Struthio camelus: one gene and its partners. The protein of the gene in region 1 purifies or fractionates together with the protein of each later gene. This does not show direct contact. Links are inferred from orthologs where the notes say so. Each region holds a gene or a part of one and is shown in the gene's direction. Other genes may lie near its edges. The genes, in order: SMARCA4, CREB1, DDX5 and SS18.

The links.
Region 2: the proteins of SMARCA4 (region 1) and CREB1 purify together in Homo sapiens (affinity purification with western blotting; 3 studies listed by BioGRID, with this or other methods). This does not show direct contact. The link is inferred for Struthio camelus from reciprocal best matches to the Homo sapiens genes SMARCA4 and CREB1.
Region 3: the proteins of SMARCA4 (region 1) and DDX5 purify together in Homo sapiens (affinity purification with western blotting; 3 studies listed by BioGRID and IntAct, with this or other methods). This does not show direct contact. The link is inferred for Struthio camelus from reciprocal best matches to the Homo sapiens genes SMARCA4 and DDX5.
Region 4: the proteins of SMARCA4 (region 1) and SS18 purify together in Homo sapiens (affinity purification with mass spectrometry; 8 studies listed by BioGRID and IntAct, counting the BioPlex papers as one, with this or other methods). This does not show direct contact. The link is inferred for Struthio camelus from reciprocal best matches to the Homo sapiens genes SMARCA4 and SS18.

The regions. Positions count from the first base shown.
Region 1 is NC_090972.1:4,652,415-4,659,600, reverse strand, and holds the start of SMARCA4 (transcription activator BRG1), read left to right. Parts: upstream 1-4,172; 5' UTR 4,173-4,340; intron 4,341-7,186. UniProt on the Homo sapiens protein: ATPase involved in transcriptional activation and repression of select genes by chromatin remodeling (alteration of DNA-nucleosome topology).
Region 2 is NC_090947.1:9,435,790-9,443,091, forward strand, and holds the start of CREB1 (cyclic AMP-responsive element-binding protein 1), read left to right. Parts: upstream 1-4,285; 5' UTR 4,286-4,673; intron 4,674-7,302.
Region 3 is NC_090960.1:4,671,514-4,679,010, forward strand, and holds the start of DDX5 (probable ATP-dependent RNA helicase DDX5), read left to right. Parts: upstream 1-4,484; 5' UTR 4,485-4,718; coding exon 4,719-4,750; intron 4,751-6,259; coding exon 6,260-6,425; intron 6,426-6,565; coding exon 6,566-6,662; intron 6,663-6,748; coding exon 6,749-6,882; intron 6,883-7,013; coding exon 7,014-7,079; intron 7,080-7,497. Other genes in the region: CEP95 (centrosomal protein of 95 kDa), read right to left, coding at 1,224-1,245. UniProt on the Homo sapiens protein: Involved in the alternative regulation of pre-mRNA splicing; its RNA helicase activity is necessary for increasing tau exon 10 inclusion and occurs in a RBM4-dependent manner. Binds to the tau pre-mRNA in the stem-loop region downstream of exon 10.
Region 4 is NC_090943.1:122,327,184-122,335,193, reverse strand, and holds the start of SS18 (protein SSXT), read left to right. Parts: upstream 1-5,116; coding exon 5,117-5,185; intron 5,186-5,555; exon of another isoform or gene 5,556-5,752; intron 5,753-7,995; coding exon 7,996-8,010. Other genes in the region: PSMA8 (proteasome subunit alpha-type 8), read right to left, coding at 4,763-5,118. UniProt on the Homo sapiens protein: Appears to function synergistically with RBM14 as a transcriptional coactivator. Isoform 1 and isoform 2 function in nuclear receptor coactivation. Isoform 1 and isoform 2 function in general transcriptional coactivation.

The DNA.
Region 1 (7,186 bases):
TTGTTTTACGCTTTCCCTCGCCGGAACGACGGCAAAACCGGCTGGGAAATCCTCACGGAAAATACCGAGCGTTGGCAGCTTTTTCCCGTCGTGCAAGCGCAGTGGGTTTTGAGTCTCCCCGCTTCTGCGCGGCGCCGTTCTTAGCCGCGAGCTTGTTTCCCCGCGGGGCGATCGTCCGCTTGGCGGGGTTTCGCTTCGAAATCCCTCCCTCCTCAGGGAGCCGGGCTGTCGCCCCCGATCCCGTAGCGGTCGGCCGGCCGCCAGGGCCGGGGAGGAGGAGGAAAAGGAAGAAAACCGACGGGCGCTGAAGGGGTCGGGCTGGCGGCGGCGCCGCATCGGTCCTGCGCCGACGGCAGCTCTGTGGCTTCAGGAGGGCAGGGAAAAACGCACATCTCCCACGTCGCCGTCAGCGGCTCCGCTTCGTTTATGCTCCTTTTAATTAAGAGTAGGATTTGAGACCTCCCCCCCCCCCGTTTTGTTTTTTTTTAACATCTCGAGCAAGGGCTTCAGCCCTCTCGGTGAAGGAAGGAGAGCGATTTTTGCTGCGAGACAGCAGAAATCAGCGGTCGCCCTTGCTGCAGCGAAAGCTAATTTTGGGGGGCGAAGCGAAGGGATCGCAAGGCGTTTGGCTCGCTCGGGAGTTTGCGGCCCGGAGGGGGCGTTCCGTGGCGATTTGTGCAGGTAAAACGTGGAAGTTCGGAGCTAGCTCCAAAACACGAGCCCCCTTTTTGGGAAGGGCCCTGTCCTGGCCCGTTGTACCTCCCTCGTCCGCTCGGTTTCATCGCCAGGTCGCAGTTTCTGTCCTTTCTCTCCGGCGTTTTTCCGTGCTGCCGAAGCAGGTGGTGTTCCCCCCCCCAAGGCCGCCTGCGGTGGTCCCGCGTGTCCTTTGCGGCGGCTCTACTTAATTAGCGTACGTTTAGCGAGCGCTTGGAGAGCCTGGAAGAGAAGGCAGAGCTTTACTTAGCAGCGGCCACCACCGTTGTCTTTGGGCTGTGGGCACGGCCAAGCCAGGCCAGATCCGGGCCCGACAGCAGGGCTCCTGCTGTTCCACCTCAACCCGCAGGAGACCTCAACCCGCAGGAGACCTCATCCTGCAGCACGTCCTGCTCCCCACGTCTCCCACTGTCCAACGCCACCTTCTCCCCGTGTCTCCCGCTCTCCAACCCTTCTCCCCGCGTCTCCCGCTCTCCAACCCACCTTCTCCCCGCATCTCCCGCTCTCCAACCCACCTTCTCCCCGCGTCTCCCACTGTCCAACGCCACCTTCTCCCCGTGTCTCCCGCTCTCCAACCCTTCTCCCCGCGTCTCCCGCTCTCCAACCCACCTTCTCCCCATGTCTCCTGCTCTCCAACCCTTCTCCCCGTGTCTCCCGCTCTCCAACGCCACCTTCTCCCCGCATCTCCCGCTCTCCAACGCCACCTTCTCCCCGCGTCTCCCGCTCTCCAACGCCACCTTCTCCCCGTGTCTCCCCCGCTCTCCAACCCTTCTCCTTGCGTCTCCCGCTCTCCAACGCCACCTTCTCCCCACGTCTCCCCCGCTCTCCAACCCACCTTCTCCCTGTGTCTCCCGCTCTCCAACGCCACCTTCTCCCCACGTCTCCCCCGCTCTCCACCCCACCTTCTCCCCGCGTCTCCCGCTCTCCAACCCACCTTCTCCCCACGTCTCCCGCTCTCCAACCCACCTTCTCCCCACGTCTCCCCCGCTCTCCAACCCCACCTTCTCCCCACGTCTCCCCCGCTCCAACCCCACCTTCTCCCCGCTCTCCCACCCCACCTTCTCCCCGCGTCTCCCCTGCTCCAAACCCATCTCTCCCCCCATGTCCCCTGCTCCCAGCCCCTTCCCCTCACAGACCCCCGGCCTGTGCCCCCTCACGAACCCCCTTCCTTCTTGGAACCCCTTTCCCTGGGCCTTGCCCCCTCGTGGACCCCCTCCCCTCGTGGATCCCTTCTCCTCACAGTCCCCTCCCCTCGTGGACCCCTTCTTTCATGGATCCCCTTCCCTCGTGGACCCTCTTCCCCAGGCCTTGCCCCCCCGTAGACCCCTTCCCTTCATGGACCCCCTTCCCTTCATGGACCCCCTCCCCTCGTGGACCTCTTCCCCAGGCCTTGCCCCCTCGTAGACCCCTTACCTCATGGACCCCCTCCCTCAGAGACCCTTTTCTTCATGGACCCCCTCCCTCATGGCCTTCCTTCGTGGACCCTCTTCCCTCATGGACCCTCTCCCCTCGTTGACCCTCTTCCCCAGGCCTTGCCCCCTCCTGGACCTCTTTCCTCATGGACCCCTTCTCTCATGGACCCCCTCCCTCAAAGACCCCTTTCCTTCATGGACCCCTCCCCTCGTGGACCCCTCCCCTCATGGACCCCCTCCCCTCGTGGACCCCTTTCTTCATGGACCCCCTCCCTCAGAGACCCCTCCCCTCTCATGGACCCCTCCCCTCATGGACCCCTCCCCTCATGGACCCCCTCCCCTCGTGGACCCCTCCCCTCGTGGACCCCCTCCCCTCGTGGACCCCTCCCCTCATGGACCCCCTCCCCTCGTGGACCCCTTTCTTCATGGACCCCCTCCCTCAGAGACCCCTCCCCTCTCATGGACCCCTCCCCTCATGGACCCCCTCCCCTCATGGACCTCTTCCCTCATGGACCCCTCCCCTCGTGGACCCCTTTCTTCATGGACCCCCTCCCTCAGAGACCCCTCCCCTCTCATGGACCCCCTCCCCTCATGGACCTCTTCCCTCATGGACCCCTTCCCTTGTGGACGCTCTTCCCCGGGCCTTGCCCCCTCCTGGACCCCTTCCTTCATGGACCCCTCCCCGACCCCCTCCCCTCCTGGACCCCCTCTCTCAGAGACCCCTCCCCTCTCATGGACCCCTTTCTTCATGGACCCCCTCCCCTCATGGACCCCTTTCCTTCATGGACCCCTCCCCTTGTGGACCCCCTCCCTCAGAGACCCCTCCCCTCTCATGGACCCCTTCCTTCATGGACCCCTCCCCTTGTGGACCCCTCCCCTCATGGACCCCCTCCCCTCATGGACCCCTTTCTTCATGAACCCCCTCCCCTCGTGGACCCCCTCCCTCAGAGACCCCTCCCCTCTCATGGACCCCTTCCTTCATGGACCCCTCCCCTTGTGGACCCCTCCCCTCATGGACCCCCTCCCCTCATGGACCCCTTTCTTCATGAACCCCCTCCCCTCGTGGACCCCCTCCCTCAGAGACCCCTCCCCTCTCATGGACCCCTTCCTTCATGGACCCCTCCCCTTGTGGACCCCTCCCCTCATGGACCCCCTCCCCTCATGGACCCCTTTCTTCATGAACCCCCTCCCCTCGTGGACCCCCTCCCTCAGAGACCCCTCCCCTCTCATGGACCCCTTCCTTCATGGACCCCCTCCCCTCATGGACCCCCTCCCCTCATGGACCTCTTCCCTCATGGACCCCTTCCCTTGTGGACGCTCTTCCCCGGGCCTTGCCCCCTCCTGGACCCCTTCCTTCATGGACCCCTCCCCTCGTGGACCCCTTCCTTCATGGACCCCCCCGACCTCCCCCCTCGTGGACCCCCTCTCTCCCTCCCCCCGACCCCTCCCCTTCGCCGCAGTGGCGCGGCCAGTGCGCATGCGCGGAGGGAGGGGGGGAGCCGCCGTCAGCGCCGAGCGGGCGGCACGCGGCACGCGCCTCGCTCGCCCCGCCCCCCGCCTCTCCTCCCGCCACCCCATTGGCTGCGGCGGGGATGGAGCCAGCGCCGGGGCAGGTTGCGCAGCGCCGATTGGCTGCAGCGCGCGCGCGCGCGCGCGGGCGGGCGGGCGGGCGCGCGAGATAGGAAAGCGGGGAGGGGGGGGGCCTGTGGGGTCTCTCCCATTGGCTGCCTCGCCGAGCGGTAGTGGGCGGGCCTTCCCCCCCTCCTCCCAGCCGGCTGGTCCCCGCCTCATTGGCCGAAGAGCGTGCCTGCCGCCCCTTCTCACCAATAGGAGGCGCGCTGCTGAGGAGCGGGTTCTCCGCGCTGCCATTGGCTGTCGCGGGGAGGGGGGCGGGCGCACGCCGGCTCTCCGCTGCCCTCATTGGCTGCGCTGGCGGAGGGGGCGGGTGAAGTGCGCAGGGGGCGGTGCGCACGGAGGCGGGGAAGGGGAGGGAGAGAAGCCGAGCCGGCGCGCATGCGCGCTGCCTGCCTGCCTGCCTGGGGGGGCGGGGTGGGGGCGCGCGCGGGCGGCGGGGGAGGCGCGCGCGCGCGGCTCGCGCTCCCTCACACACGGCGGCGGCAGCGGCGGCGGTGGCGGCTCCTTTGTTCCCGCCGCGCCGCGCCGCGGGCTCGGCCGCCCCGCCGGGTATGGACCCTGCCGGCGGCGACCAGCGCGGTAAGGGCCGGCGGGGGCCTGTCACGGCGCCCGGGCCGGTCCCTCACTGAAAGGGACCGGCGGGGTTGGGGGGGGGGGGAGGGAAGACGCTGTGGGAGGTGGGGGGGGCGCGCTACGGCGGCCCCGGAGGGTCACGCGAGCTCGGCGTCGCGCTCCCGCCCATTGTTCGGGGCTGGGGGCGGGGGGGGGGGGAGGCGGTGTGGGAGCGGTCTCTCCCTTCCCCCCCCCCCAACCCGCCTCAACGAGCGCTCACCGGTTCCCCCCCCCTCCCAAACATCATCATCATCATCATCATCCCTCCTTCCGTGGGGCCTTTGCATTCCCGGCGCCCTTTCCACCTGGCATCGCTGCTCCCCCTCTCCCCCCCCCCCGGTTCATCTCCCCCCCTCCCCCAACCTTCATCGTCCTACCTGCATCCCTTCCTTTCATCGACCCCCCCCTTCCATCAACTCCCCCCCCCCGCACCCCCGACCCCTTCCATCAACCCCCCCCCCGCACCCCCGACCCCTTCCATCAACCCCCCCCCCGCACCCCCGACCCCTTCCATCAACCCCCCCCCCCGGCACCCCCGACCCCTTCCATCGACCCCCCCCCGCACCCCCGACCCCTTCCATCGACCCCCCCCCGGCACCCCGACCCCTTCCATCGACCCCCCTCCCCAGCAACCCCGACCCCTTCCATCGACCCCCCTCCCCAGCACCCCCCACCCCTTCCATCGACCCCCCTCCCTGGCATCTCCTACCCCTTACTGACCCCCCCCTTTTCATTACCCCCCCCGCGTCCCCCCCTTTTCATTACCCCCCCCGCGTCCCCCCCTTTTCATTACCCCCCCGCGTCCCCCCCTTTTCATTACCTGCCCGCGTCCCCCCCTTTTCATTACCTGCCCGCGTCCCCCCCTTTTCATTGTCCCCCTGCATCCCCCCTGCATCCCCCGCTTTGATTGTCCCCCCCGCATCCCCCCTTTCATTGTCCCCTCCCTTCAGCACCCCTCTGCCTCCCCTCCTTTCATCACCCCCCCGCATCCCCTTCTTTCAGCACCCCCCCAGGCCCCCAGCCCCCCCATCCTCCCCCTCTGCAGCCTGCTTCAGCATCCTTCCACTGTAGCCTTTCCCCCAGCGCCCCCCTCCTTTCAGCCCCCCCAGTGCCCCTCCTTCCAGGCATCCCCCCCCCCAGTTCCCCTTCGGGCTCCCCCCTCTTGCAGCCCTCCCTCCGCTCTCCCCTTCTCAGCCTCCTTCCTGCAGGCCCCCCCCCCCCAGCTCTTGCAGCCCTCTTCCCCCCCACCCCCAGCGTGGGGGGGGCTCTGCCCCCCAGCTCCCCACCCCGCCTCCCCCCTGCCCCTCGCTCAGCGGCAGCCTGTGCTGCTGGCAGGTTGGGTGATGGGGGTCAGGGACGCCGCAGTGCCCCCCCCTCAGCCCCCCGTCAGCATCTCCCTTCAGCAGGGTCGGTTGCACCCCCTCCGCCCCATCCGTTTCCCCGCAACCTGCCGAGCATTCGCTGTCCCCCAGCGCTGTCTCCCGGGGGGGGATCCGTGTCGCCCCCTCCTTTACGCCCCCCTTTGGCATCCCTTCTCCCCCGCTTTGTGGGGTGCTGCCCGTCCTCTGGAGCACCCGTCTTCCCCGGGGCATTTCCCCTCCCGTCGGCAGGGCCCCCGTCCTGCGTCCCTGAGCGTCCCTGTCCCCCCTCCCCGGAGCGTCTCCCCTTTATTGCTCCTCCTCTCCCCGTCGCTCTGCTGTTTGTCCTTCTGGAGGACGCCGTTTCTCCACCCTGTGAGATCCCCCTCGTCCCACCTTACTGCCCTTCTCCTGCCCTCCAGCTTCTCACGCCGGGCCAGCACCCCTCACTCTTTATACCCTACTGCCCCTTCCCGGCTTCTGTCTCTTCCGTTGTGGCTTCTTCCTCCCGTAGCTGCGTTTTTGTGGCGCCGTCTGGGTTTCAGCACCAGCTTCCCTGGTCTCCAAGGGATCTGCTCCTCGTTCTGCACCTCCTTCCTGAAATACTGATAGCAGCGTCCCCCCCCACCCCGTCCGCGAGCAGTGGCCCTCTGCCGTCGCTCTCATCCTGTCCTCAGGTCGCCTGCTGCCCCCTCCCTGCTCTCCACCCCTAAAAATTAATCTGCCTTTTGCCCCCTTCCTGGGGGGGCTGCGATGCAGAGGGGTTATTGCATCCCTCGGGCTGACGGCATCCGGGCTGCATCCTCTGGCGCCCGAGCTGGTGGCCGAATCTGTGTATTCGCGCTGCCTAGGACAAAGCCAGGGGATGAAATCTGTCTGCCCTGGCTTCGCAAGAAGCTGCCCCGGCCTCCCGTCTTTGTGGCAGCGCGCCCTGTCCGTACGCGAAGGTTGGTCTCCTGCGCCGGCCAGAGGGGGATCGAGCCTTCCCTGCTGGCCGCCCCCGGCACAAAGCCCGTCCTGGCGTGAGCCGCGGCGAAAGAGAGCCGCCCCAGGGTGCTACGGAGGGTTTTTCGCGGCGCTCGGGTGCAGCCGCCCCCTCCTTGCTGCCCAAAAGCCCCTGCAGGAGCCTCCTCCCCCCACCCTCAGCCACCCCGCCGGAGGCACTCAAAGCACGTTGAAGCCCGGAGTGTCTTAATGCGGTTGCGGCCCCGTCGAAAAGGCGGGGGACGCGCGCTCGTGTCCCCCCAAGCGGAGGGGCTCGACTCCCCTCTCTCCTCCGCTGTGTTGTGCGTGGCGGCGGCGGTGGGGGGGGGGTTCGTGTCCCCGCTGCCGGCTGCGCGGCCTTTGGCGGCGACGTCTTTTGTTATGAGCCGGTGTCTTTCTCCCGGGCTGTAGCGCTGGTCTGTAACGACTGTTCCCCCACCGCGTCTCGGCGACAGAGGCGCGGTGGGGGGG
Region 2 (7,302 bases), on another chromosome or scaffold:
TGTGTGGGGTGGAAAGTGCAGCGCAAGACTTGTTGCACCAAAATGCATACTCCACTAACCACCTAATTGGCATGTATCTCTGCGTTTCCACAATAAATACTATCTTGTGCGCTACCAGTGTCAGCAGAGAGAGGTGAACAACTGCTCCCAAATGCAACTTATGCATTGCAGAGCCACCACACCTTGCAGCCAGCGACACCCCTTCCTGATCTGCCGTCACCCATTGTCACCCATTAGCCCCTGCAAACCTTGGGCCGTGGGCAATCAACCTGCAATGCTGTATGCAAGGAGCCCACTGCCCAGGAAAACCAGCCTGAAAGCTGCAAAGCTAATGAATTTGCCCCTAAGGCTTAATTGCAAGAAAAATAATTAATCTTGCTGGGTTTCACTCATCATCAAGCAAACTTTTGCTGAGGAAGAGGAAAACTGCTGAGCATCCTAATCCCCCTCCGCCCCCAGTCAATCTCTCCCGATAGGACATTGTGGGTAGTTGGCACATCATTACCATCCCATTGTATACAAATTCTCCAAGAGAAAACCGTGAAAGGGACGGGTAGATGATAGTAAGAGCAGGGTTTTTTTTTCAACTCAAACTCTCACTACCAGTCTCAATGGTGTCCCAGTTTTGCCCAGATCTGCTGAGAGGCAGAAAAATCAGAAAACCTGCAAGGGGAAGGGGAATGTGCAAAACAGCTGCCAGAAGATTTCACAGCAGTTCACGCAGTTGTGCCGCTGAACCTGCCCGTGTCAGGGCTGAATCCAGCCCCACTCCACGTATCATCTGTGCTTCCGCCATGGGACACGAGATGGAGGCACCATAGAAACAACAGTTGGGAATAATCTCAGATCACCTCGGGCACCTTACCTATTTGAGACATCTGTTTCGGTTTGAGATAAATTGCACTCTTGAGTTGTCTGCCAAAAGGGGAGCCCAGGCTGGGTGGTGGGGAAGTAGACACCCCTGCAAGATACCTGTAAAGCTCGTCAGCGAGCTGAAAGACTTTAAGAGAACGACTGAGAAGGAGTCAGCCCAGAAGCGATGGGTGAGAGCAGGGCTGGGAAGGACCAGCAGGATGCCAGATTATTAGCAATGCCTGAAATGAAGAGCAGGATCAAAACGGCGCAGAGAACTGCTTGACAACATAGCAGCAGCCCTTGCCGGTCTCCGGGAGCCCAGCGTATCGCAGCCCCATCAGCTGCGCTCTCTTGGCTCAGACCGAGCTCGGGCTCAGGCTGCTGAGGAGAGCTGTTCACTGAGACTGGGTTAGTGCACTTTAGCTGCCTTTCAAGGACTGGAGTTTACTCTCTCCGAGCGCTTATCGCTGTGATTCTTCAGGCTTCCCGCAAGAAGGCGAGTCACATACTTCTGGGAAATGTGCCTGCGTGGAGAACGTACACAGTTTGGGTCATTTGGGGAGCCAACAAAACTGATGCAACACAGAAACATTAACAGAGAATTGGAAAGAAGGAGAGGGAACGGGGAAAAAAGGATAAATTAACGCATGAATCAAGCAAGAGACACTCAGACAGCTAAATTTGTTCTGCGCATTCTAAATATTTTCTTATATAAAGTACTTTACTCCCCATAAGAGGAGCACAAGGGCAGCTGAGCCTTTACGCTCTGATCTCAGAACCACTCCTTGACGTACAGTAGTTTTAGGAGTGATTTTAGCCGTACGCTGCTGACAGGATCAGCTATTAATCAAAGGAGCAACACAAGTCCAAAATAATGAGGGAGAGAAAAGGTCACGCTCTACTGTGCTATGCTGCAAACTTGGAGCTCCTGTTTGCAGACAGCTCAGACAGAAAAAAATGCAATAAAAGTGCAAAATGAGGTGTGGCCCAGCCATATTATGTGTTTTCAACAAAACAGTTTTTTATCAGTCCAACTTGAGCTGCTTGTTTTAAAAATGTCAGACACGGTTTATTTCAGTTTGTTTTCAAACAACTGAAATCAACAAAGCCAAAAGCAGAGCAAGCCCGTAGTCGCTGTCTGCATCATCTCTTTCGATTTTTTGACGGAGTTGGATGAAACTCCCTCTCAATAAAACTAGTTCAACCCTCTTGAGGAAAACAAGACTCAGCAAGAACAAGACTAGATTCACGTGGGCAACACTGTCTTTTGATGTGGTGTAAGTGGCGGGCTCTGCAGGGCCCACCTGGGCGGGTTATTGCCGTGCAGCGGCGTCTTGCGATAACGGCAGGCAGCCCTGGAGGAACGCGCCAACGACCCGGTGGTTGAAATGAACGGCATCTGGAGCTTCAAATCTTGTCATGCAGTGCCATCTCGAGGTTTCCTGGAACAAAATGGACTTTCTTCAAAACTACACGTAGTTTTTAATTGGTCCTACGAGCTCCAGATCTGCCCGTCTGCCCGCCGGAGATGTCCCCACTGCACGGGCACAGGGAGCTGCTCTCCCTCTGGCCGCAACCAAACGGGACCAACCAAAGCGGTGCCAGATAGCACGTGCCCTGCCCCGAGGTGTCCCCCCACCCCATGCCCCATGCCCCATGCGGGACCATCAGAGGAAAAGCCCAGCGAGAGCAGCTGGATGGTTTCCCTGCTGCGTCCCGGAGAGACCGTGGAGGCCACCAGAGCACGGAGGTCACCAGTGCGTGGAGGCCACCAGAGCGTGCAGGCCACTAGAGTGTGGAGGGCACTAGAGCGTGGAGGGTGCCAGGCTGGGCCCCACGAAGTCAGAGCCAGGCCGGGTGCCTCTCCCCGTCCCCACACCCCATCACTTGGGGGTCCCCGTCCTGGTGAAATCTATCTCTCTAGGAAGGGCGATGAAGCGCAGACGTGGCACCGGCAGGAGTGGACCCTCGCCTGGGAAGGGGCTGCTCTGAAGATCACGATTTGCGGCTCTGTCGCCTGGCTGGGCAGACAGCGTTCGTCCTTCTCGTGGCAGTTGGGGAAGGTTGGTTATGTGGATGGCGGCCAGGGAGGGTTGGTTACATGGAGCTCGGGGACTTCATGGCAGTGTTGGTGTTATGGTGGTGGGAGTGTTGCCCCGCGCCTGTGAGCTGCGGCGGCACCACCTGCTCGTGGGGCCGCCCCGGCTGGCCACGGCGCCAGAGCGAGCTGCAAGGCAGCCGCAAGGACAAGCTGGAAGAGCCAGGCTTGGAGGAGCAGCCTGAGGGACACATATGGGCATTTTGCCACGTTGAGAGGGCATGGGGAGGCCGGGCTGGGTGGAGGCCAGGCGGAGGCCATGGAGCGTTGAGGAGGGGTGAGAGGAGCCCATGCAACGCCAGGGCAGCAAGGAGGCCTCAGGATGGCACCACGTCCGCGATGTTGTGTGCAGAGCACATCCACCATGTCGTGCTTGTGGAGACTGTGTGCACCAGGTTGTTCCGGCAGACACCACGTCTGCCATGTCGTGTGCAGAGCATGTCTGCCATGTCGCGCTTGTGGAGACTACGTGTGCCAGGTCGTGCCTGCGGACATCACGTCCGCCATGTTGTGCGGAGAGCACGTCCGCCATGTCGTGCTTGTGGAGACCACGTCTGCCAGGTCATGCTGGCGGACACCACGTCTGCCATGTTGTGCGGAGAACGTGTCCGCCATGTCGTGCTTGTGGAGACCACGTCTGCCAGGTCATGCTGGCGGACACCACGTCCGCCATGTTGTGCGGAGAACGCGTCCGCCATGTCGTGCTTGTGGAGACCACGTCTGCCAGGTCGTGCTGGCGGACACCACGTCCACCATGTTGTGCGGAGAACGCGTCCGCCATGTCGTGCCTGTGGAGACCACGTCTGCCAGGTCGTGCTGGCGGACACCACGTCCGCCATGTTGTGCGGAGAACGCGTCCGCCATGTCGTGCCTGTGGAGACCACGTCTGCCAGGTCGTGCTGGCGGACACCACGTCCGCCATGTTGTGCGGAGAACGCGTCCGCCATGTCGTGCCTGTGGAGACCACGTCTGCCAGGTCATGCTGGCGGACACCACGTCCGCCATGTCGTGCTTGTGGAGACGATGTCTGCCACCTCGTGCTTGTGGAGACCATGAGGGGCGGCTGGAAGCCTTCCGGAAGGTGAGAACCGGGGACGGGGGGGCCCGCTGGGGCTGAGTTTTGGGAGGTTTGGGACAGCGCCACAGAGCAGCAGCTGGGCTGCCGGGGAGGCGACGAGCGCCCCTCTCCCGACGCGCGGGGCGGCGGTCGGGGTGTGCTGGGGGGGCCTCGCCCCTTCCACCGCGCCCGCGGAGGACGGAGGGGAGCGGCGGGAGCCCTCACCCCCCCTCCCCGCCGCGGCCCCGCTCGGCGCTTCCCGCGCGGGCTGCCGCGGGCGGAAGCGGCGTTCGCGCCTTCCGCGGCCGCTCGGCTCTTTCCGCCTCCCCGGCGGGGCGCTTCGTTCGTTTCCGCGGCCGCTCGGCTCTTTCCGCGGGGGCCGGCGGCGCGCTCGGCCGTTCCCGCCGCCCGCCGCGCGCTCGGCGGTTTCCGTGAGCGCTCGGCGGTTTCCGTGCGGGGCCGCGGCGCTCTCGGCGCTTGCTCCCTGGCTGGCGCTCCTCAGTCGGCCGCTGCCTGCCTGTCGCCGGGCTGGGAGCGCCTGTGTGTGTGTGAGTGACGCGGCGGAGGTGTAGTTTGACGCGGTGTGTTACGTGGGGGAGAGAATAAAACTGCGGCGAGATCCTAGGCGCGAACGAAAGCAGTGACGGAGCAGCCTGGTAACCGGTAAGAGGAGGAAGGCGCCCAGCAAACAGGGGCGGGGGGGAGGGAAGGAAATGGAGCCCGGCGGGGACCAGGGGGAGCCGCCGGGCGGCAGGACGCGGGGGCCCGGCCTTGCAGCGCCAGCGGGAGGGGCGCCCGCTTTAAAGATGGAGCCGAGCCCTGCAACATCCCCGCCGCCGCCGCGCCGCGAACAAAGGATAATGGCGGATGGGAGCCGGCCCCGGCGGCGGCGGCGGCCGCCACGGCCAGGCGGCGGCGGCGGCGACTCTGGCGGCAGCCAGCGGCGGCGCTCAGCGCGGCGGGGAGAGGGGGATCGCGCCCCCCGGCCCCGAGGAGGAGGAGGAGGAGGAGGAAGACGACGAGGGGGGAGAGAGGAGGAGGAGACGGCCGCGGCGGTGCCGCCGGCGGCGGCGGCTGCACACCCACCCTCTCCCCCCTCCGCGGCGGGGTGGCGGCCCCTGTCCCCCCCCCCCCAACCACCACCACACCGCCTCCACACAACTCCTCACGGGTCGTCTTCTTTATTCTTTTTTTTTTTTTAATTTTATTTTAATTCTTGTTTTCGCCTGGCTGTGGCCGGCGCAGGGCGAGCGCGGCCTCCTCGGCGGCTCGCTGCCGGCCGCCAGCCCTGGCCGGGGCCGCCTCGGCCGCCCACCCGCCCCCGCTGCCCCTTCTTTTTCCCCAGAGTTTCACTACCCGGCGACCTGAGCGTGCTGTGTCAATAAACAAACTCCTGCGATTAAAAACAAATCAAAAACAAAAAAGAAAACACCCCTCCCACCGCCACCACCACCACCGACAACAAAACACGCGGGGTGCTCCTAGGCGCTGTAACGTGCTCTCTTAGGCTCTGTAACAAGAAGTTTTTAATAAAAACCGTGCACTGAAGTTTGGGCCGGCATCTGACTTGGTGGTTTACTTTCATTGGAAGTGTCGGGGGCATGATCGTATGCGGAGGGCTGTAAAACCGGCGAACTTACTCGGTCACCCAACACCGCCTGCCGTTAAAATATAGGAGGGAAGATCTTTAAGGCTGACGCTCAGATCGCATAACCAAGATACGGTTCCTTTTTGCAGCGTGTTTCTTTCCTGTTAGTATTTTTAACTGAAAGTGAACTTGAGCCTGGCGGTGACCGGTTAATCTCAGTTTGGGGTTTGCTCTTGCCAGTTTTGCACAGACTCCTCAGCGCTGCACAAATGAGCAGGCTTTGACCTCTATCAGTGCTTTAATAGCAAATGTCAGCTAAACTGTCCTTGCCACGTTCCACCAGTCCTACCTTGCCTTTGACTGCTGCGCTGGGGGGCTTTCCCTCCCCGCCCCTTTATTGTCTAGCATAGAAGATACTGTTTTGACCTTATTTACTCTTGCAAAGCCTGGATTTCTGCATCTTTGTGCACAGTAATAAGTGAAAATGCTCTGGCAATCTCTCTTAAAAACGTATTTTTAACTAAAATTTTTTATGCCTGTCAAAAGTATATGCAAGGATTAAAAAAAATATGGGTCATGTGGCTTTTTCTTCCAAAAACACTTTTTTGGGTTTTTTTTTTCCCCTCCCCTCAAGAACTAGTTTCCTAACTCTTAAATAAAAGGCTAGAAACTTATTTGAAAATACTGAATATCTCTTTTCAATTCCAGTGTAACCACCAAGCATTATATTTTGAAATACTAGAGCTCCTGAAGTTCTGCTTCTCCCTTTCCCTGTGTCATCAAACGTAGGTTTTTACTCTAAAAGGTGAAGTTCCGGAAATGCCTTCTTTTATTCAAGATGGGCATGTGCGATTTGTGTAAGTGTCTAGATAGGCCTGTCCTTTCTCGCATGTGGAATTTGTTCTCTGTCGTTTCCACCACTTCTGTTGAAAAGAAAGCCAAGGTGTTCTACATCGCTTCACTCTGAAAAATACCAACGTGAGAAGAGGGTTTCTAAAGTTGCAATTGATTAATAGACATCTGTGGACTTCAGTGAGCAATGTAGCCATTGATAGTGATTAAACAGAACATAGTGTTTGGTGTAATTCATTCATTTTTGGTTTGATGGACTATTCACTTCATTTTAAATACAAAAATGTGACAGTAAACCTTTGCATGTCGTTATTTTGTAGCTTTAGAAACATAACATTTTGTTTATCCCCAAACCATTCTATTTCATGATAGAGCGCAGGACTCTCACATCAACATATTCTAACTCTTTCCCTGCGTTTCCCTGTAAACTTTGTATCCTCACTGACAGGAGAGAAAAGAGAGCAGGAAGGTAATGGTGTATTTGTCAAGCATAGCTTATGGGTGACCTAAAAAGAAATACTGTTTGGATGTAGGAAAGTAGAGTATAATAATTCTTCACGTTTTTTTAAATTTCATTGGTGGAACGACCAGTAATATTTGGCGTTCAGATTAGTACTCTCAGCTTTTGTATCCAAGTCTGGAATAAGTGGTCTGCATCTGATCTGTATTAAATACCCATTGTTTTCCCATATTTTTTGGAAAGGAAAGTGTAAGGGTGCCTACTACCCCAGGGGAGAGGAAAGGTCTGAAAGGAGAGAAAGGTCTGTTGATCCAAAAAATTCAGAAACAACTAATTTAGACTGTCAAGTCATCAGTCTATCTGCTTCCTGGAAACTTAACACCAGTGCAGCT
Region 3 (7,497 bases), on another chromosome or scaffold:
CTTCTGCTAGTCAGGGCATCTTTGAGGACATCATAAATTTAAGTTATAGGTTTTTAAGTTAAAAGCATAACCTGACAATCTAGATGGAGGGAAAAAAAGTCTTTAGCATCGCTTCATCAAGAACTAGAAACAACATACACTTTTTGGAAGAACATGAGCTGATCTCTTACAAACCCAATTTCCTGAATATCCTTGGCAATGGAAACACTGCTCATGTAAATATTCATCATTAAAACTAAATCCTAGGACTGCTTTTATTATTTTGCTGTTCAGGTATTACAAGCATATGAAACTGCCCCCCCAAAGTCTCATGATATGTTGAGTGCAATGAGAAGCATGTGCATATGTAGACTATCTTTTCCAAAATTTTCTCTTTAAAAGTAATGAATTCAGAGTGGTTTAGAGTACATGTTTCCTCTACAGTTTTCCTTGCCACACACTGCAAATAATAACTTGAGGGAAAAAAAAAGTTTTCATATGTCTGTTAGTCTATGATTTTTTGAGATTTGATCTTCCCCTACATATTCATTTAGCAAAGAAAATATAATTTTTAACAAGTATTATCAAGGACTTTAAATTGCTAGAAATGGGATAAGACATCTGTGCAAGAAAAAAGAAGTACAGCGTTACTACTACAGATACTACCGTGTCCCGCTGTTTTCCTTGTGTACACAGAGGAATTACATTTCCATCTATCACCCCTTCACTCTGTTCCAAGAGACACCTTACCCTCACACTTTGTTTTCAGGTGCACAAAACATTAAAGTAATATCTTCTACAGTTCAGGCTGACAGGTTCTAGAAAACTTAAGGTTACCCTTTATTTCCAGCTTAAAAGAATCACTAAAGAAAAAGGAGGGAAGGGACAATAAAAAGCATAAAAAGTCACAAAACAAAAAGGGAAATCGTAAGGGAAAATAAGCATGAATAAAGTGGAGGCGATTAGCGAGCAGCAGAAAAGAGACCAAAGGGAGGTGAAAAGGCTACTTCTCACCCAGCTCCCACCTGTAGAGCACGAAGGTCGGCCACCTCTCCGGCACCCTCGCCCGCCCCACCACTAGGGAGGCCCCTCGGGCTGGTGGGGACGCGCCACGACCTAGCCCAGCGGCGGGTAGGGTAGGGCAGGGCAGGGCAGGGCAGGGCGAGGGCAGGGACCGGGGAGAGGCGCCCCACGGGTCAGAGAAGGGCGATCTCCTCAGGAGCTCCCTTCTCTGGCCCCCCTACCTGTCTCCTCAGAGCTGCCCATGGCGCGGTCGCGCGAGCGCCCGGTGACAGCACCTCACGCACCCTAACGGACCAGGGCCACTGCCCCGCCCCGGGTAATTTAAATAGCCCCTCTCTGTGTCCCGCGCGTTGATTGGGCCGTCTGTGCAGGAAGAGGCGGGGTCTCCCGCTGAAGGCCGTCGCGATTGGCTGCAGCTGGGAATGGTCCGCCCCGGGCCCGCCTCCGTTGGCGTTGCCGTTGCGGGTTGCCTAGCCGCTGGTTGCCGTGGAGACGGGGAGGGGGTGAGGCGCCTGGGCCTCAAAGCGACGCCGCATCGAGGATCACGTGGCCCGGACCTTGCTTCCCCCCCTTCCCCCCGCCCCGTGCCGCTTCCTTCCTGGCGCGCGGGGCTGTTGGTGGCGAGGCGCTGGCGGGGGTGGGGGTGTCTGCGGCCCGCGCGTTCGCGCATGCGTGGAGCCCGCGGCGCGAAGGGGGAGGGGGCGCTGCTCCGGCGCGAGGAGCCGCCGCCGCTTCCTTCCCTCAGCGTCGTCGCGGGCGGCGGGTGAAGGACGCCGGGCCGCGTCGGGGGAGCGCCTCGGTCGGCGAGGCAGGCTGGCGGCGTAAAATGGCGGTGTAATAAAAAAAAACTGCTTTTAACTCGGGCTCGGTTCCGCGGGCGGTTGGGGAGGGTTTGTTGAAGCGGTTCCGCCCTTAATCACCCTGAAGTGAGGTGATTTCTTCCCCCCCCCCCCCGATTTTCACAGAATGAGGAAGGAGGGCCGGCTATGGCAGGCGGGGTGGAGCAGGGGAAAATTCTAGCTCTTGACCTTGCAGGGCCGGCCTCGGGGTTGTTTGCTAAAAGGTGGAGGTGGTGGTTACGTTAGAAGGGTTAGTGTACAGTTTGTACAGTTGGGGAGTTTGGTTTAAATTAGCAGGTGGTGTAGGTCTGCTTGGGAGATGGCAGGTAATTTGATGACTTTCCTGGATGTTAGGAGTGCCAGAACCTTTATTAGAATTATGACTTAGAAGGTTTCGTCCTGTGAAATGTACTGTACAATTAGCTGCTAGTTTACAAGATTCTAGAGGCCTTTGATGGTGAAAATGTATTTTCTTCCTTACAAAGCACATGTGTACAGCGCTGCTTAGGGATTCTGGAGTTTCCATGTTGCCCCAGGTCTTGCAAAACTAGAAATAATGGTGCCTTAAACTCCTGGAGTACGTAGAAGCAGCTGAGATCTCAGTGATGACTGTAAGAACAAGGGTAGGCAAGTAAACACCAGGGGTAATGATGGCTTTAACGGTCCAAGGACAGATAATTGGTAGATACATAATCTTAACGCACGTTTATACCAGTTAATCTGATAAAAACAAAAGAGCTTTTGGGTATATAAAAACGGATGTCAATACTATTAATACTGAAACATGGATTTCAGTTTCATACATACACAGCTCTGCAAGCCTCTTTTACGTTGCATGTATTGGCTCAAAGAAAGACGGGAACAGAGGAAAATAAACAACATGTTTAACGTAAAAGGATGAAAGAAAAATGAGGAAGTTTTTTTCCCCCCAAAGAGGAAACTGAAGTTACTTGCAGTCTAAATGTGTGCAGCTGGCATGGAGACTATGAGAGGTTCTGAGGGCTATGTTTCTTTAGGTGAAATTGTGTGGATTTACGTAAAAAGTAACATGTATGAGGAAGAAACAGCTGTAGCTATACCTAAAAAAAAAAAGATAGGCCTAGCTTAGGTGTTGCTTTTGAGGGTCAGTCATGGAATCATCTACTACTGTTCCTTTAAAACCTTGCTCCAATCTTAGCAGCAATCAAAAAATGAAAAACAATCATTAGGAAATAATACAAGACAAAACAAAAACACCATCATGCTTTCATTATGTAAATCTATATGGGGGCCCAGATTTTGAATTCTATGTGGGTTTCTTGTCAATAAAGTGGCAAGGATTATCCAAAGTGCAGAATTGCTTTTAAAGGAGAAATAATTAGATTGCACCTCTGACTTGGAAAAGGAGTAACTGAGATTAATGTCCCGAAAGGGTATAGATAAGGTGGATAGGAAATTATTATTTACCATTTCTGACAATTCACTTTGCTAGTCCTCCCTTGTTCTTACCAGTCAATATGTTGAAAACAAAGGGAAGTACTTCTCAGGTAGTGTATAATTAAATTGTGAAACTGATTGTTACAGAATGCTTTAGAAGATAAGAGCATAAAGAGAGGAAAAATGTGAAACATAACTGTCAAAAACAGTTACGTTATTTTTGTTTCCGAAAAGTCTTAAACCACAAATTGCTAGAAGGTGGGAGTAGCCTATAAAGGCAGGGTGTTGTTACAGCGTTTTTTCCTTACGTTGTTTTTGTTTGCTATTGGCCGCTGCCTGAAAGAGATGGTCTGGCAATACAGTGCTTATGTTTATGTGTCAAGCCTCATCTTGTATGTGCTTAAAGCCACAGGTAGCAAGACATTCAAGTTATTCCTCAAGCTAACAAAGCAGGGTAGATAAGCAACCCTAGTAACTTCAGGTGTTTGACATTTATTACACCTGTGCTTTCCAAACAGCAGTGTCCTTTGGTGCACTGGTGCACTCCTCGTGACCTTTAATTTGCTTTACTAGACCTGGTGTGGAATTTGAAAAGATAAAAATAGCACCTGTTTCCAATCACATGGATTTTAATATTAATGAAAGTGCCCAGGCAATGGATAACAATCTAAAATTACTGCTTAAGCAGTATTTTATCTATCTGCTGTTCTAATTATTTGTGGCCAGCGGGTTAACTTCGAGAGGACCCGTGCATCCAACCCCTTCAGTCTATTTGAAATCCTGGGAATGCCTGTGGCTGAAATACTGCTTTTAGTCCCCAGAGATAAAAACTCCTTTATGGCTCGGTCCAGTCCTGTGCATGTGCAGAGGAAGGTCACTACTTAGCCACTTACTGATGTCTTACGGTGTCAGATGTACTAGCTGTCCATAGGTAAAACATCTGGGGGGGGGGGAGGAGGGGATCGCGCTTCCTGTCGGGCCAAAGCAGCTCCGGGCCCCTGCCGCGGGTCGGGCGGGCGCCGCTAGGCCGCGGCCCCCCGCTACTGCGCAAGCGCGGCGGCTCGCGCCCTTCTCTGCGTGGGCACTGGGAGGGGCAGACACTCCCGCTGCCGCCGCCGCTGCCGGGCAGTGACGACACAGAGGCCACGCCCACAAGGGGAGGGGGACTTCCGCCCGCGCGCGCAGAAGCCGGTCAGTCGGCCGAGCCGCGGCCACGCCCACAAGGGGAGGGGCCGGAGGCTCCGGCCAGCTCGGGCCGCTTACATAAAACAAGGGGCGGGTTCTGCGCCTGCGTCACCAACCGGCTCCCAGCAGCCTCCGCGGCACCCCTTATATAACCGGCATCCGGGCAGCGGGGCGCTCTACATTCAGTGGCCCCCACCATCGGCGTCGGATCTCGCCGTACCTTTCGTCACCCTCTTTAGTGACCGGAACCGTCTCGCCACCATCGCTTCCATCGCCATGCCCGGGTATTCCAGCGACAGGGATAGAGGGTGAGTCCGGGGGCCCGGCTGGCGCCAGCCGCCGCCAGCGTCCGGACTCTTAAACCGCCTATGGGGGTTTTGACTGCTGCTTTTTTTTTTTTTTAAGCCGTCTAAAATGGCGGCGAGGCGTGGGGGTTGGGCCCTGGAGCCCTTCTTCTCAGCTCTTGCCGTCTTCAGAACTCCGGAGTTTCGTGACGAGAGCCGGGGGGGGGGGGAGGGGGGAAACGCCTTTAGGCCCTTTCGGCGCCGCCAAGGGCAGCCACCGCGTGTGGGCGGCCGCGTAATCCAGGGCGGGGGCTGAGTCCGTCCGCCTCCGCGCAGCCCCTGGCCGCTTGTTAGGGGTGCGGGCGGGGGAAGGGGGATCGAGCCCTCTCTCGGGACACCCCCCTGAGTACGGATGGCCCTTGCAGAGCTCGATTCCTGTCCTTCCACACCCCCCTGCCAACCCCCCGCCTCGGCCGCGGGGGCGGACTGAGCAGTGGCGGGCTGGCTGGAGGTTTGTGGGTCAGTGGGTTGGCCGGGCGCTTCGTCGATGCCGGAGAAGCCTTGGGGGAGCTCTCGGTAGGGCGGGTCCCTTCTCTCCCTTCCCCCCTTCGCCGGCTCTGGCTGTTGCTGGCAGAAGCCGGCCGGCTCCCGCTTTGTGTTGTGTAAGCGGATGTTAATGGCCGGCCCCGCCATGCGGTGACTGAGGGGAAATCAAAATGCCGGCTGCTGCTGCTGCCTTTGTTCCTCCTCCTCCTCCCCCCGCCCAGCTCAGACTCTAAAATGGCAGCGGCTGGAAAATGTGGCGTAGACAGAAATGAGAGACAAAGGAAACAGCGCTGGCAGGAAGCAGCGGCCACTCAGCCGGGTCCCCTCTGGGAGCGCTGTGTTGTGTTGGGGAGGATCGCTCCCAGCGCCTGCCCAGCCAGGAGTGGGGTGCAGTCGGGGCGGGGGAGGGAGCGCCCCGCTCGGGTCCGGGGTGGTGGTCCTCGGGGCGCGGGTTCGCTTCGCTTAGATCCGTCAGGGTAGGCTTCTGAGACGAACCCCTTCTGAACGAAAGGGGATAACGCGTAAAACGCGTGGCCTCGTGAGAACGTCGTTACTGAGAGGAGCCAGCCCTTTGGGATACCAAAACAACCGTTTACGGGGAAGTTGTGCCGAGCTTTTGTAACTGCCTCTGCTTGCTTTCTGCAGGCTGACACACAAGGGGAGTGTCGCTCGTGTGGGAAACTATTTTGATCGTGGGGGTTGTGCAGGTGTTTTAATGTTCTTGCTGTTTTGTAGGTTGTTAATAAGTCTCGGTTTCATTTTGTGGAAACTGCAAGGTAATGTGTTACCTTAGTTTCTGAGCATGAGTTATAACTAGGCAGATCATGGCATCTGCAGCTTGGTATGTTTTTGGAGTTTTATTATGATGTATGTGAGACTTATGAAACTGAATTGTCAAGTTGCATGTTTGGTTGTAAGGATAATGATCAAGTTGTATATGAAAGAGAGTTACTCTCAGGTTTTGTATTATGGTGTATTCTTCTCTAGGTTTGGAGCCCCCCGTTTTGGAGGAAGTAGAGGTGGACCTCTGTCTGGAAAGAAATTTGGAAACCCTGGGGAGAAGCTTACGAAAAAGAAATGGAATTTAGATGAGCTGCCCAAATTTGAAAAGAACTTCTATCAAGAACATCCTGATGTAGTTAGACGTACTGTGGTATGTACCCTATCCAACTTGTGTGAAAGTAAATAAATAAAGTACAAACATGCTGAGGGTCATGGGACAAGGATGAGGTAACTTATAGGATAACTTTGGTATCAAAGCTTATTTCTAACTATGGGGTTTTTGTCTTGCAGCAAGAGGTTGAACAGTACAGATCAAGCAAAGAAGTCACAGTTAGGGGCCATAACTGTCCAAAACCAATTATAAACTTCTATGAAGCTAACTTTCCTGGTAAGTGCACAATAGGGTACTCATAGACTTCATCTTAATCAAGCCTGGAAAAACTTAAGTTAATAAGTTCTAATTTTCTCTTCAAGCAAATGTTATGGAAGTGATTCAGAGGCAGAACTTCACTGAACCAACTGCTATTCAAGCACAAGGATGGCCCGTTGCCTTGAGTGGACTGGATATGGTTGGAGTAGCGCAGACTGGATCAGGGAAAACACTGTCTGTAAGTTCTTGTTTGTAACTTGGAATACTGCTGAAATTCAGCAGTGACAGTTTTGCCTGGCTTAATGCAGTCTGAACACCTCTGGGAAGAGACTGTAATGAGACTTTTTTTTCCCCTCCCTTTTCAAACAGTACTTGTTGCCTGCCATTGTGCATATAAATCATCAACCATTCCTAGAGCGAGGAGATGGACCTATAGTGAGTATTCCTAAATGAAAGGGGTTCTTAATTTTAAAAGAATGCGGATTTGTTACAGTCCGTTTTGTCCACGCTTATGTGAGTACAAAGTGCTTTCATATACCATAGCAACATTGTATTTCTCGTCACAGATCAGTGATTTTATGTTTCAGTAGTAGTAGTCTCCCAAGATTGTTCCATAAGCTCAGATTTATTTATTTTACTTCAAAATCCTCCAGAACAGGACTAGATGTCCTGTTTTGGAAATAAACATCCCCTGGAAACTGGTGGCTTCCAAATACGTGACCTAACCACACAGCATGGGCGAGTGTCTGGTGGTAGTTGAGATACTGGTTTCCTTAGCTTTCTTGTTCTGTCTGTTCAGATAAATCCATTTTACTTGTGTTCTGGTGATAGCATAGTTGTATACAATGATCTT
Region 4 (8,010 bases), on another chromosome or scaffold:
GCTGTTGCACTTACTCCCATTAGTGCAGACTGCTGAACATAGTGTGAGTTTCTTTATTCTCAATATTTATATTTGCAAACTAACATGGCAGATACTAGAATAAAAATTTAGCTTCACAATGATTTTTCCTGTTTTTGTTACTGCCCCTCTGGAACTTAGTAGAGCAACCAATATCTTTGTACTATTCATGCTGGTGGGGTAGTTCATATCAGTTTATATCAGAACATATAAGCTTGTATTTCAGGTTCTGTACAATATTAATATTCTTATTAATATTCTGTGCAAAGGCTAATGCAAAATATAAATGGCAAAATTGAAAGACGCAGACAAGAAGCTGACAGACTAAATTCCAGACAAATTTACCCTATTAGTGTGATCCCTTTTAGGAAGCAAAAACACCATGAGAGACCATTTACTTTAACAACAAGCTGATATTGTTGTATAATTTGATAACAACTTACTGATTAATTAAAGAGACTGAATCTGAACAATCTTCTAAGCTCAACCATTTAAATTGGCAGATTTTCAGATGCTAGCTCCATTTTGCATCAGGAAGAATTAACATGTATTCTGGGCATGTAGGAAATCCCCCCAAAGTCACAAGATCACACCAAGTCCAGTTAGTGAAGCCCATAGAAATACTGAGCCAAAAATTGTATTTCTTCCTTTTGGTAACTTTCCTTTTTATCTACCCAAGGAAGCTACTCCTTGAGATTTGCTGTAACTGCTCCCTGATTTCTAATCTAAAAATGTTAGGAAACACACAGGCATAAACCCAAAACTCTTTTCTTTTTTTTTTTTTTTTTTTAATCACAAGATGAAAAAAAAGTCAGCCCTAAAAAAAGGCTCAAATTTGCCCTGCCATCCTACTAGCACTAGACTCTGAGCTATCATATTTACTTTTAATAAAGTGATTCTTGTCAGTTTGAGGTGAATGCACAAAATGAGGTGCTGTCTCCGAGAAAGTTCTAACTCTCAGGAATCATTCTCAACACGATACTGCAATCTTTAGTCAAGCAGGTGTAAGCAGCATTACCAAAAACGTCTTTGCTCTCCTGTCTTGTACTGTCAGCTTAGTAAATACCAACTTTAAAATGTGAATTTAAGTTTTGAATTAAAATTTGAAAATGATGATGGATCAGCATTCTGTATTTTCCTGCTTGTGAAAGGGAATGTTTTCTGATCCCTTTTTATCCGTCTCTTCTATTCCAGGGAATTTATGGAAAATCGGATAATAAAAACGGCAGAAAATATAGGCAGAAACTGAAGCTACCTTATTTTTTTCTCAGAACCGTTGGAAGACCGCATCACTGCAAATCTTACAGCTTTCCCCAAAACTAAATCAAATGAAGCCCAGTGCAGTGAGGAATTTTGACACACTCCTGAGGAGGCTAAAATCACTCAACTGTTATGCGCTTCATTTCAAATAGATAGCTTTCTCTAGGAGCCATATGTTAATGCTTTCTGGACCCTAATCTCAGAGCCTATATTGTTACCCAGGTACTTGTGTTTGAGAAAGATGAGCTGGAAACACAGGGAAAAAAATGTTTCAGAAAAGGGCACATCCTTCTCTGTCTGCATTCTTCTCCCTTCAAAAAGTATGAAATACTGAAATACACATGAAAAAAAAAAAGGATGCTACACTGATAAAACTTGGAGCAGAGATGGAAAAGAGCTGGATGAAACATATTTTGTATTTGAAACTCTTTGTGATGATCTAGATTTATGTATCAAAATTACAATTAAATAATGTTAAGGTTGTGAGTAACTCAAGAGTAAAGAAATGTGCAATTAAAAAGAAAATATACCATATGTCCTTCGATATCTAGGCATATTGCAGTGCATTAAGAAAGTCATAAAAGAGACACCCTGTTGTGGTTATGTGTTCCGAGACATGTGGCACGTTTCCATTGTAGCTATCTATTTCCCTGCCTGTATGCATCTGTGCCATTATTTAAATGTTGATTTTCAATGTGATTTTCTCTTTCCCCGTTAAAAAATGGAGCTGCAGTCTCTTTTTTGAACTTTTCTTTAGATCATGAACATGGAAACCCCAAATTTTAAACATATGAATGTAAAATCATCACAAAGAAAGGGGAATAACTGGATTTAATTTACAACTACCAGATAAAACCAGGCAAAAGAGACAGTTTTAATTATTTTAAATGAATGATCTTTTCTTATGTCTGTATCTTCCTTTGGTAACAGCTGAATTCCAAACATTGTTCTGCATTTGGAATGGAAAACAGGAATGCACTTAAAAGTATCTAGTATTTAATTTAGGCCATCTCTGGGAATTAGGATGGGCAATTACTCCTTTCATTTTAAGGTTCCACCATCCCCGTGCAATCCCACAAACCTTTTTTTTTTTCTTCTACTGATCATCAGCCTGAAAGTGTGGGAGAGCACGATGCATTATTCTGAGCTTAAAAGCAATTGCTATGTGGCTGACACCTAACCCACATTGTGTCAAATACTGTCGTCACCAAGATACCCCAATGCAAAACATTTCAGAAACAGCAGCTGTCTAACTAGAGGATGGCAGCAAGGTTAGTTATACTTGTCGGAAGAGAACAGCATTTTGAAGAATTCTCAGTGTTCAGAATACTTCATGAGAATGTATTTGTCCTCTGATTGCTGAAGGTGCCTGCCGCCTTAGAATACTTTCCGACACATCCCTATTTCTCAAAAGCCAAGTATCTACTTCTGCTAAGGAAATAAGTCCTGTTTCTTCTATTGCAACTGGCTAGAAGGTAGTACCTTCTCATTCTATTCTGGCCACAGTGATCTTGTACTCTTTATTCTTAGGACTGTCATTTGTAGTATCTAGAAATAATATTGATTTGAGCACAGAGCTATTGCCACATCTCTGTGGTATGAGTGCACTCCAAGAATATTCAACAAAAACCATGAATGACCATGAAGCCCATCAACTTCAGAAAAAAGGGTTTCTTCAACCATTTCTTTTTGCCTTTGTTTTCCTACAAGTATGATAATACTGCTGCTACAGATAATAATGAAATGTGTGGGAAGGTGAGAGAAAAAAAACTGCTTGTACAAATAAAGTAAAGCGGACCTAGATACCATGGTGATGAGTGAAACGTGTAGAAACACAAACAACCTAATGGATATGCCGGCACTAGTCCTCCTCCTTAAAATGACCTATAGTGAAATGACTGGGCCAGAATCACTTTCTGGAGAGGACAGCAAGCCAGATTAGCATCGCATCAACTCAAGGTCCTATATAACCTGAAGAGACAGGGCAGAAGAAGCACCATTCTGGGAACAGAGAGAATCAGGCCCAGGCGACAGTCCCTTGGAGAGGGGGATGCTTTGGGAATGCAAGAACAGTTTGGAGACAGAAGCCTGGGAACTGGTTGTCAAGGGGGAAAAAAATAGGGGATGATGGGCAGTCACAGTCAATCCTAGGATAACAGAGCCAGGAAGAGCAATCTCCATGGGGCTGGGGAAACAAGCCAGCCTAGAAACAGTCGGAGGAGAGAGCATGCCAGTTGGGAAGCAGCTGCACAGCCACAGGGTGGCCGAGGATGCCACTTACAAATATATGTTGTAACCAAAAAGGCTAGGGCTGGAGGGAAGAGCCAGGGACTTGAGCCAGCAACAGCTGAGAGAGGGAAAGAGAGAAGCGCGCAGAATAAGGGAGAATATTCACATTTTGTTGTGTGGCGTCATGCAACAGAGCAGTGTCCCATCAGCCACAGGAGCAGGCATTTCTGTCAAGGACCAGAGCGCAAATCAGATACTGAAGGTCACTGCCCAATACGTCAGGAAGGAGATGCAGCATTCATGGCCTACAGCACAGCACTAAACAGCATCCAGGCAGGCCAGGGACGTGCCTGGGAAAAAGCAGATTTATGAAGTTTTAGTTTGGGATTTTCTACTTTTCTTTGCCATTACCTTTGAAACTCTTACTATTGTAAAGAACAGCCTTAGACTTTGCAAACTTGTGTATCAGAATATGTGGTGAAGCCCCAGAGATCCCTCCAAAGGCAGCACTGAAAAAAATCAAGGCTGCTTTCAGCAATTTTAGCGTCTATAATTTATTAAAAGTCGTAGCAGCACTTGTTTCTCCTTGTTCGGCTTCGTTTCCATGACAGAGAAGCTGTGGCCGGGGAGGTCAGTAGGGAAACTTAATCACACACAAGCTGGCTGGGCTGGCGGGGGGGGGGAGGGGGGAGTATACAGCCCCAGGGTCTGCTCTTAAACTTTTTTTTTTTTTTAAACCTGCCAGTTCTGGCAATGACTTGACAGCAAAAAACACCACCAGAAGCCTGGAAACGTCAGCGCGAACACTACTGGGCAAACGGCACGTGCCACCGCCAACGGCAAAAACGTCCCAGCGGCACCTCCCCTGCCTCGCATGCCCAGGCCTGCGGCTGCGGCTCCGGCTCCCCACGCGAGAGGCTCTGGCGGTGCCACACCGAAGTCGCCGCGGCCTCGCCCGGGACTTGAACGAGCGCAGGACCCGCCGCTGCCGCCGCTGCCGCCTCACAGCGCTCCCCCGCGCCGCCTTCCCCCGCCGCCTCACACGGCCGCCAGAGCGCACCGCCTGGGCGCAACCAGCGCGGCCGCGGGTGGCGGGGGGAGGAGAGCGCGTTCCTCGGCACAGCCGGAGTGCGTCCCCTGTAACGTGAGCGCTAAAGCGCTCCCCTTCCCCCTCCTCTTCCCCGCCCCCCCCCCCTCGCCGGCCGTACCACTTCGCTGCCTGTCCGGCGCGGAGCCGCGTTGAGCAGGAACGTACCAACGCCAGGAAGGGAAAGGGGTAGCCAAAAAGGCCTCGTGACTGACGGAGGCCACATTTAAACGGAGCGGCGCCGATTCTTGCTCCTTTTGCTTTTCTGAAACCCAGGGAGGCGGCCACCGCCTTATCGACTCTCCCTCTCCGTGCCGGAGAGGGAGGAAGAATACCCTTCCCCCTTTCACCTTTCCCCGGCGGGGTAGAGATGGGCTGGCCCGATGGGCAGCCGCCCCCTCGCCCCGCCCCCCCGGCGCAGCGCGTTCTTCCCGGATCGCTGCCGCCTCCCGCTGCTGTTGGTTGCGCGGGGCGCGTGAGCGGGCGGGCGGCGGGGGCGGCCCCTCCTTGCAGCGGCCCGACATGTCGGTGGCGTTCGCGGCCCCGAGGCAGCGGGGGAAGGGCGAGATCACGCCGGCCGCCATCCAGAAGGTGAGGGCGCGAGAGAGGAGGGGCTCGGCCCGGCCTGGCCCGGCCCCGGGGGCTGCGGCTGCTTCCTGGCGTCGGGACGTGCGCGGAGGGGGGTGGAGGCGAGGCCCCGGGGCGCCCAAAGCCCCTCGGCGGGGCGGCGGCGGCCGGGCCGCGCTGGCGGCGGCCGGGCTGTGGCGCGGCGGGGTCCGACCCCGCGCAGCGGTCGGTGGGCGCGGGGCCGCCCCGCTGCGCTCTGCCACTTGTTCTGGGGGGCGCGGGGCGGCGCCGCCGCTGCCGCCGCCCACGGGTGTTCGCCGTGGGGTGGGCGCGGCGCGGGGAGGCCGCGCGCGCGCGGGGCGGCGGTTGCCCCGGCCCCCCTGCGCGCCCCCGCGCGCCCCCGGGGGGACACGGCACCCGGCGGCCGTGTGGCAAGCGCGAGTCAGCCCTTCAGTACGCTTCGCCCGCGGCACCTGGGGCGAACGAAGAAGTCGGCGAAGCCGTTCCTGTGAGAGGTGCTTGCAAGTGACGCCGCGGTCCTGCTGCTGCTGCTGCTAAGCCCTGTGTAAATGTGATCTCTCTCTCCGTGGGGTGAGCAGAGACTCCCAGATTTGGCTTACCTTTTAATTCCCCTACCCCTGCCCCAAACAAAACCCTCTAAAGTGCTGTTATGGGGGAAGGCTGTGGCTAGAGCTGATGGCAGGGACTTGGGATGCGTCCGTCTAGGCTCCTGTGGGAGGAAGCAAGCTAACTTGCCAAAAGCAACGAGAGAAAGCGTGTTTAGGACTTGTAATAATTAACGATATGTCGCATTGGCAGAGGCAAAAGAGCACACTGAAGTTCAGTGCTGACTCTGTAACATTTGGAAACCTAACTTTAGACCCTCTCTGTCCTCAGTTTAAATCGTGATCTGAAATCTGTTTTAATTTATGGCCGTCAGCTCCTCCTGTAGGAGGAGATGCCTTCCATTTAGATAAATCAGGTGCTGACTTTATTAGAGGACAAGGATGTCAGCAAGGTGTCAAAGTTGTAGGGATCAGGACCTCAAAGAAGACCTCAGAGTTATGATGCAGACCTCTGCAGTAGTGGAGCAGAAGTAGTCTGTGCTTGAGAAGCATAGCCAAAAAGTACACGCCCACTGAGCTGCCTACCAGTAGGTAGTAGAGACTTCAGTTCACTGGGATGCATATAAAGAATGTAGGCACTTAAGGTTTTTTTTTCTTGTGCTGTAGGCCTACCGTTGATTTGATGCTGCCATGCTTGCAAAATCCTAGTATAGGTATAGCTAACAAGTTTTTGTAGTGTTCCTAAGCTGTTGGAAGCCTTGGAGGTGTCTTCATCTGGCTGGAAACTTAAGATTCTTTCTTGGTGATAGGTGCTTATAATTCTTTCAGAGAACTATTTCAATTCTTTATCGGTAACTGCTTGATGAAAACGTTATAAAACAGTGCCTGCAGCCTAGTCTAGGCTATAGTTGTATTCCATTTTATTTACTTTCTTCCTGGCCCTAGCATTTTTTTTCCCCCTCTCCAAAGAGATCTGGCTTACCTGAGAGGGGGAGGGGAAAGGGAATGGAATCATCTAACTGGAAGTCTGATGATCTACTCCCTTTAAGTATATGCTGTCTTCCACTGGAAGATGGAAGTGTTCTGATGAGAGCCTTCATCCAAGGCTCCCTTTACAAATGCGCTGTCTGTTGTATATGAGAAACAGACTTGTATTTGTCTATATATATATATATAGACATACATACATATATTTTATTTATTTACATATTTGCTCCTTTTTCCTCATTTTTTTCTGGTGAAAGTAGCTACTGTATTTCTTACAGAACTTGATGTTAGTACACGTGAAGTGTGTCTGTATATGGGTGTATATGGGTCGGCAAGCCCCTTTAGAGCATGGAAGTACATCTCTTCCTAGTTTCTGGAGTTCAGACGGATGTTCGAAACATTGCAGTTCTGTATGTGTCTGTTGCTTAAGGACAGTGTTTCCAGGTCTAGCAATTTTAGGCAAGGACGATTGCTTACTGACTGTTCTTGTCAATTCTGGCAAGTTACTGGTTTAAGTTTAGGAAGACTTGGTTTATTGGCTTATTAGTTCTTACATGGATACAAGTCTTGAGTGGACTGTATGAGGTCTCTGAATCTGTACCTTTTTCATATTAAAGATAGGTTATTTGGAAGAAAAAATAAATATTTTAATAGGTTTTTTGTTTGTTTTTATGTTAGATTCTTACAGAGTTGAGGATGCTGTAATTATGGTGTCTGTGCTTCCCTTTCAGAGTCATAAGCCTGCTTTCTAATTTCAGCCGTGTTTGGAAGGGAGATAATTAAGACCCTACCGGTTTTGTGAAATTCAGGAGCTGCAAAAGAGATCTTAAACTAGCCCTCCACTGAGGGCAAAATGCAGGAAAAAGTTAGTGTGAAGTTTTCCATTTGGCTGTAAATTTTTTTGTTTAGTTCAATTAACCTGGATAATTTGGCTGGTAGCTCAGACTAGCCATAGTTCTGCTGTGTCTTGTCTGACCAGAGTGCAAGGGAGTGATTAAGAGGATGTGTGTGTAGGGATGTGCAGCTCTGAGACCAGAGTATATTATTTTTCCTGCTTATGGAACTCAGCAACATCTTGAATTAATGAGTTTTCAGTTTTCAACTGAAAACTGAGAGGGAGGAAGGGGGAGATGGTAGCAAAATAGGTTCTATAAATAATTGGTTGAAATAAAGCTTTTTAGAACACTTGCTTAAAAAGAAGTAGGAGCAAGAATCAAACTCGTCATCAGTTTCTTTCCCTAAAAAGCATGAAACTTATTCTAAACTTTTTTGTCGTTTCAGATGTTGGATGAAAAT